Pelodiscus sinensis: one gene and its partner. The protein of the gene in region 2 purifies or fractionates together with the protein of the main gene of each other region. This does not show direct contact. Links are inferred from orthologs where the notes say so. Each region holds a gene or a part of one and is shown on either strand. Other genes may lie near its edges.

The links.
Region 1: the proteins of ASIC1 (region 2) and PICK1 purify together in Homo sapiens (affinity purification with western blotting; 3 studies listed by BioGRID and IntAct, with this or other methods). This does not show direct contact. The link is inferred for Pelodiscus sinensis from reciprocal best matches to the Homo sapiens genes ASIC1 and PICK1.

What each region holds. Positions count from the first base shown.
Region 1 is NC_134711.1:92,068,974-92,072,880, forward strand, and holds the start of PICK1 (PRKCA-binding protein), read right to left. Parts: upstream 2,801-3,907; 5' UTR 2,583-2,800; intron 1,606-2,582; 5' UTR 1,553-1,605; coding exon 1,512-1,552; intron 1-1,511. UniProt on the Homo sapiens protein: Probable adapter protein that bind to and organize the subcellular localization of a variety of membrane proteins containing some PDZ recognition sequence.
Region 2 is NC_134729.1:6,495,005-6,498,911, forward strand, and holds the start of ASIC1 (acid-sensing ion channel 1), read right to left. Parts: upstream 2,879-3,907; 5' UTR 2,403-2,878; coding exon 1,779-2,402; intron 1-1,778. UniProt on the Homo sapiens protein: Forms voltage-independent, pH-gated trimeric sodium channels that act as postsynaptic excitatory receptors in the nervous system, playing a crucial role in regulating synaptic plasticity, learning, and memory.

The DNA of each region.
Region 1 (3,907 bases), on a different chromosome or scaffold from region 2:
ACCTCAAGACTGAACAATGACCCTAGATCTCCAATACACATCACTAGGAGTGAGCAACTCTACCTGCTTTGATCAGGTCCTTGTTGCAGCTCCTTAGGCATTGTCTACACTTAAAATTTAGGTTTACCTAGCTATATTGCTTACAGCTATGAAAAATTTCAAGTCCTGTGGAATAGTTAGGTTGAACTACTCCCCAAAGTACAGGCAGTCCCCGACTTACGCGGATCCGACTTATGTCGGATCCGCACTTACGAACGGGGCTTTTCTCGCCCCGGAGCTCACGGGCGGTGTGTTGCCACCCGTGTCCTCCGGGGCGAGAAAAGCTTCTCCCGGTCTCCCTGGTCTGCTGCGGGGGGGGGGGGGGGGGGGGGGGGGGGGGGGGGGGGGGGGGGTCCAGCAAAGCCACTGGACCCCCCCAGCAGACCAGGGACACCCAGGCAGCGGCTTTGCTCGGGTGTCCCTGGTCTGCTGGGGGGGTCCAGCGGCTTTGCTGGACACCCCCAGCAGACCAGGGAGACGCAGAGCAAAGCCGCGGAGCATGCCCGCAGCGGGACAGCCTGGGCGCGCCTGGGCTGTCCCGCTGTGAGCGTGCTCCAGGGCTTTGCTCCCCGTCTCCCTGGTCAGAAGACCAGGGAGACGGAGCAAAGCCGTGGAGGACGCGGGCGGTCCCGCCACCCACGTCTCCCTGGTCTGCTGGGGGGGGGGTGTAGCTAGTGCCCCCGCCCCAGCAGACCAGGCTTTTCTTGCCTATGCCTGGGGTAGAGCAGCTGGGGCGCTGCCGGGTTGGTCCCGCAGCGCCGCTCCTCGGCGCTACTGTACCAACCCGGCAGCACCCCAGCTGCTCTGCCCCAGGCGTCCTGATTCAGCCGCTGCTGGTCAGTTTCAGCAGCGGCTGAATCAGGACGCCTGGGGCAGAGCAGCTGGGGTGTTGCTGGGTTGCTCCAGTAGCGCCGCTCCTCGGCGCTACTGGAGCAACCCAGCAGCACCCCAGCTGCTCTGCCCCAGGCGTCCCCAAGTCAGCCGCTGCTGAAACTGACCAGGGGCTGACTACAGGAAGCCCGAGGCAGAGTTGCTCTGCCCCGGGCTTCCTGGAATCAGCCGCTGATCAGTTTCAGCAGCAGCTGACTTGGGGACGCCTGGGTTTCTTAAGTTGAATCCGTATGTAAGTCAGAACTGGCGTCCAGATTCAGCCGCTGTTGAAACTGATCAGTTTCAGCAGCAGCTGACGCCAGTTCCGACTTACATACAGATCCAACTTAAGAACAAACCTCCAGTCCCTATCTTGTACGTAACCCGGGGACTGCCTGTAAATGGAGTTAGGCTGATAGATGAATTCTTCCATCAAACTTAGCTACTGCTTCTTTAAGAGGTGGATTTACTACAGTGATACAAAACCTTTCAGTCACTATAAAAGGTATCCATAGAACCACAGCAGAGCTGCAGCTGTCCCTTTGTAGTGTAAACATGTTCTTTGATATTTAATTGTCAAGAAAGGGAAATAAAGTACTCACAGCTTATCCTCCTCAATGTCATAGTCCAAGTCTCCAAACATCGCTCTGGCAGTCTGGAGCCTTTTGACTTGAAACTCTGTTTACACCAAAGTGCCTGGAAAGAGGAAAAAAGACTTGTAAATTTAATTCTCTCAATTCATCAATGCTCAGCAGCTAAAGCTGAAGAATCAACCTGTGCCCTCTGTCAGGCCCCTTCTCTCTGCTAACTGGGGATGGAGCTGTTTGGGAAGGAGATATTTCAGACTCTTCTGATTCACTGCTCAGGGTTGGAGATGGGGTAATGGTGCTTTTTATTGTTTCACAAGGTATACAAGTACTCTAATACTTAGAAAAGGACACAGCCCATCATTCAATCTGCTTAGCACAATACTTTCCAGAGCTATCTGGGGTCTTATTCCCTTCACCCATTTACTATTTCAGTTTCTTCTGGATTCTGCAGCAAGTCAATATGCATCTCACGGGCCTCTGCCTCCTTCCTCTGAGGGCTAAACACAGTTTTCCCTCACTGCTTTTTCATGGAAAGTATTCTCATGTCTGACAATTTGAGGAAGCATCTTTCTCCCGCACCCTCATGTTTCAGAGAAGAGCGCAGCAAACATCTCTCTGCATCACCACCACCATCACAGTAGCTGCACAGCGGTTCATCTCTGGATTCGTGCTCTGCTCTGAGTCTCCCAGCTTCTGTCGCTCCACTGGGGTGGCTGGTGCTGGAAGTGGGGAGACTGCGTGTGCCTGCGTGAGAAGGTGCCGGTGCCCTGCGGTGACTTGTCAGGGTCAGTGCTGCCAGGTGCTAAGCGGGTTAGTGGCTGCTTGGCATGGAGTGGAGGGTTGTCAGGATCTGGGGGATCCCGCGCTGCTGCGCGAGGTGAGGAGCAGGGGTCAGGCTGGCACGGGGGGGGGGGGGGGCAGCTCTGAAGGGAGCAAGTGAGGGGAGGGGCGGAGACCGGCCCAGACTTTGCCCCGCGGCGCTCAGGGCAGTATGGGGTTAAGGGGGCCCCTCAGCTGCCCCCCCCCAGGAACGTGCCCCCCAGGGCTGGGAAAGCTGGCACGGGGGAGGCGTTAGTCACTCACCGGAAACAGCTGTCCAGAGCTGGGTACCTGCATCCACCTGCCGCCTCTACCTGTCAGAACACCGCGCCTCCACGTCACTTCCGGGCCGGAAGCCGCCTACCTATCCCAACTCCCTCTCCCCCACTCGCACCCGGGCTTCGCCCACCGGTCGGAGCAGCTGTCTCGGGGCCCGCCCACCGCTCCGCGCTCTCTTCTCGCGATAAGACAGGCCCACCCCTGAGAACGGGTCGCTATGGAGACGTAGAGCGCTCGGGCGGCTCTCGGGACAGCCAATAGAGGAAGGGGCGGGGCCCAGCTGTGGGCTCGCGCCCTGCAGCCGCCATGTTGGGGCGGCCGTTGGGCGGGCGCGCGGCTCTGGCGCAGTCCCGCATCCCGTGGGAGGCGCCCGCGCCACTTCCCTGCTTGGGCCCCTGCCCCGCAGCCGCCGGGCTAACGGCCAAGTGGACGCGCCTGCGTGGCCTCTGCCAGGCCGGGCCCATAGCAGGTGACAGGAGCCGGTGCAGCGCTCAGGGCACTACCTGCCTGCGCCCCCCCCTACCCCCAGTGCGCGTCACCCCCGCCGGGGCTCATTTCCCGTGCCTAGGCTGGTCATTGCCAACCCTCCAGGAGCCTCCTGGAGTCTCCAGGACTTAACGGGCGATGGGATGGGATGAAATCTCCAGGACTACGTCTGACCAAAATTGGCAACCCTGCGACCAGGGGCAAAGTCACTCGGCCCACGCTGGGCTGCCCCTGGGACTGGGGGGAAGTTACCTTGACCTTGCAACTAGGGTCGTGAATGGGAAACCAGTTAGCTCTGAGCAGCCCCCTGCTGCCCATGACACCCAGAACAGTCACTTGAGGTTGTTCCAAGTTAGATGTAGGGTGTGGGATGAAGAGGGGTTCAGAACAGGGGGCTGGTGTGTGTGAGAGGAGGGAGGGAGTGTTTAGGGGTGAGGAAGGACCGCTCCCCCCGGGCAGCCCTGGCTGCTCTCCACATGGCCAGGAAGGATCTGGTTGGGACTTGCCTTCCCCAGCTGGGCTTTTGCCCACTGTCCCTGGGCTCAGAGCAGAGGATGGAGGTGCAGGAGATAGGGCAGGGAGGCAGGAGGGTGACTTACCAGGGCCAATCATGGTGGCAATGGTGACAGTGTTCCAGAGGCAGCTCCTCCCCGGGGCCCAGGATTGTGCTTTCTGGATGGCAGCTTGTTCAATGGGGGGAAAGCTGTATGGTCTGACCCCAGCCTCCAGTTCAGGGTTGGGGGTGGGGGCTCTGTGGGCTGCCCTGGCCTCCAGCTCCCCTGCCAAGCCTCCAGCCTGTCCAGGAGGGTTGGACCTGTCCTCCA
Region 2 (3,907 bases):
TCCGCAAAAAGTGCTTTTCTGGAAAAGCATCCTGCCAATATAGACGCACTTTTTCCGAAAATGCTTATAACGGAAAAGTTTTCTGTTATAAGCATTTCCGGAAAAGGGTGCTAGTGTAGACGTAGCCCTCCCTGTCCAAGTTTCCACTGCTTGTAAGTTTCTCTTTTGTGGTTAAGCTCACCAAGGATTTCTCTGATAAGCCAAGCTGGTTGCCTATCATATTTGCTTTTCTTACTGCGCATCAGGATGGTTTGTTCCTGGGCTTTCAATAAGGCTTCTTTAAAATACAGCCAGCTCTCCTGGACTCCTTCCCTCTTCATATTAGCATCCCAGAGGATTCTGCCCATCAGTTCCCTGAGGGAGTCAAAGGCTGCTTTTCTGAAGTCCAAGGTCTATATTTTGCTGCGCTCCTTTCTTCCTTTGCTCAGGATCCTGAACTTGACCATCTCAGGATCACTGCCGCCCACATCCACTTCCCCTACTAATTCCTCCCTGTTTGTGAGCAACAGGTCAAGCTGCACACGGCCCCTGGTTGGTTCCTTCAGCACTTGTACCAGGACGTTATCTCCAACATTCTCCAAAAACTTCTTGGAGTGTCTGTGCGCTGCTGTACTGATGTCCCAGCAGATGTCAGGATGATTGAAGTCCCTTGTGAGAACCAGGGCCTGTGATCTGGAAGCTTTTGTGAGTTCTCTAAAGAAAGCCTCATCTATCTCATCCACCTGATCTGGTGATCTATAACAGACACCAACCACAACATGACTCCTGTTGCTCCCACCTCTAAACTTAACCTAACCAGACCCAGTGCTCCCGGCCAGCCGTCACTGGGGTATTAACACTGGGGCATTCGAAGGGCTGCCTCCCTGCCAACTGACACCAGGCTGCTGGTAAAGAGAAATAACATTTCCATCAGGGAACTTGCTCCAGGCGGGCAGCTGACAATGGCTCCCTGCCTTCACTTCATCTGCCTCCCTCCCCCACTTCTCCAGCTCATTTGCTGTTCCTTCAGGTCCTGTTCTCTCCCCGTCACACATGGAGCAGTTTAATTACAGCAAGCCATTTGCCAGCCATGCGGGGGGCCCGTGGGCGCAGCTGGCACAAGTCACAGCACCAACGGAGCGGCAGGAGACATATGAAAGACCAGCCCGAGCCAGGGCCCTTGGCTGCTAGAGTTTAGAACTAGACACTCATGACAGCAGCTAGTACATCTGGCCTGCTAGGCACCACACTCTGGGCAGACCGGGTGGCACTGGTGCTGGTTGAGGGGGAATGGGGCCTCAGGCCCCCATGAGGAAGCTACAGCAAAGGCACATGGGCTCCAGCAGAGGTAGGGGAAAGGGCAAAACAGCTATAACAGTCGTCTATGCCTCAGGGAACCATTTATGGGGCCAAAACTGCACTGAGGAGCTGGGTTCCTCATGGTGTATGAGCCTCTTAGGGGTGGAAATTAGCAAAGAGCAAGTCTAGTGATATCAGCCCCATAAACACAGTGGGTGCCAATCACCATCCTGCAAGCACCACTCAGCCAGACACCCGGCTCTGTTCATATCCCCAGGTTCCTGCCGAAGCCCAATGGCACTGCCTTGCCTTGAATGTTTATCGCCACATGGACCCTGCCATAGTGGCAGAGCTGAGAGACAAACAGGCTGGCTGGGGCAGAGATCAGCCAGGGGACCAAGTTGCCCCATAGGAGGGGTCCCTTGGCTCCTGCCAGGGCTTGTTCTTCCCCACATTACTGAGAGGAACAAAAGCCCCTGACGGGAGCAGGGCTTACTCACCACGGAGAAGTCCTCTGGCCCACACACAGCCCCTCGGTAGCTGCAGTTCAGCAGCATGTCCTCCAGCTGGTGGCAGGTGCGGTTGTAGAAGTTGTACATGTTCAGGGGCTGCTCCGAGGCCTCTGAGCTGAGTTGGGCAAGGGGGAAGTCCGGCTCCATCCAGCTCTCGTACTTCACCATGGGCGCAATGTAGAGCAGGTCCTCCTGGCTGAGCTGTGAAACCCGCAGGAGGTTGATGTTGCAGAAGGTGATGGCCGGGAAGGTCATCTCGGTGCTGTCCTGCTCATCCAGCAGCGTGACATGGTGGTACTCCAGGTAGTAGATGATACGGTCAGCCACCTGGTAGAGGAACATGGAGAGGGAGAGCAGGAAGGCCAGCGCCCAGAGTATCTGCCGCACCTTGAAGCCACCCTCCACGAAGATGTGGTTGGCTCCGTGCAGCGTGCAGCTGTTGGCAAAAGCCACAATGTCAGTGGCTGTTCCCTCCTCCTGCTCTTCTTCGTCCTCCTCCTGATTGTAAAGGAACTCGTCCACACTGTCTTCTCCTCTCCCCACGGTCCCGTTGTCTCCACGTCCCTCCTCGCTGGAGGAGAAGGAGATGGTGCAGAATATCTGGATGGGCATTCTCCAGGAGGGGGGTCCCCACCCCTCCCCAGCCCTCCTTGTTCCGCTGCTAGCCAGGGGGTCCACAAGGGCTTTGGCCCAACCCTCTTGAGGGACAAAGAAAGATGTGAGAGCGAGAGAGAGAGCTAGGGAGGACAGAGGGGGAGGAAACTTGAGTGAGAAATCAGGCCGGGGGGGGGGAGGAGAAGAAATTAGAGTGACCAGAGAGACACCGGAGGTGGCAGAGGGAGAAGTGGAGAAATGGAGAGAAAAAGGGAGGAGACAAGACTGGAGGAGAGAAAGGGACAAATGAGGCGTTACCGGAGCAGCGCGAGAGAAGGGGCTGGAAGGAAGACAAGGAAGCAGGAGTTCTGCAGGGCTCCCCCACAGCCCCACAGGAAGCTTGGTCCAGAGAGGAAAGTATTGCTGGCTCCAAAAGCTCCTCCGCTCAATTCGCAAACAAGTTGGGAGCTCCCGACGCTCCAAGCTCCGAGCCGAGTTGCTGCGCTCCTGTGTGGCTGCCAGCTCCGGACGCTCGCACGGGTGTGTGAGCGCAGAGCCTACAGCCCAGTGCTGCAATCAGCCCGGCCGGCAGAGACTAGGCCTGCTGAATAATTGATCAGCGTTCCCTGTCCTCAGAGCCGGTGGAGGAGGCAAGGAGGACTGGGGGAGGGACTCAGTCCAGCCCGGCGGTCCCTGAGGGCCCGATGCACCCAGGTCCCATCTTCACAATGGCGGGTTCTTTCCTGAACCCACCATGTCTGTCTGTTCTAACTCCTTTTTTAATAGGAAGTATCTTGAGAGAATAAGGGACATGCAGGAGTTCATAGCGCAGAGAATACGGGACCCACCGAGCCCAGACACAGTGTGTGGGGTTCATACCACAGAGAATACGGGACCCACCGAGCCCAGACACAGTGTGTGGGGTTCATACCACAGAGAATACGGGACCCACCGAGCCCAGATGCAGTGTGTGGGGTTCATACCACAGAGAGTACGGGACCCACCGAGCCCAGATGCAGTGCGTGGGGTTCATACCACAGAGAATACGGGACCCACCGAGCCCAGATGCAGTGTGTGGGGTTCATACCACAGAGAATACGGGACCCACCGAGCCCAGATGCAGTGTGTGGGGTTCATACCACAGAGAATACGGGACCCACCGAGCCCAGACACAGTGTGTGGGGTTCATACCACAGAGAATACGGGACCCACCGAGCCCAGATGCAGTGTGTGGGGTTCATACCACAGAGAATACGGGCTCCACCGAGCCCAGATGCAGTGTGTGGGGTTCATACCACAGAGAATACGGGCTCCACCGAGCCCAGATACAGTGTGTGGGGTTCATACCACAGAGAATACGGGCTCCACCGAGCCCAGATGCAGTGTGTGGGGTTCATACCACAGAGAATACGGGACCCACCAGGCCCAGACGCAGTGTGTGGGGTTCATACCACAGAGAATACGGGCTCCACCGAGCCCAGATGCAGTGTGTGGGGTTCATACCACAGAGAATACGGGACCCA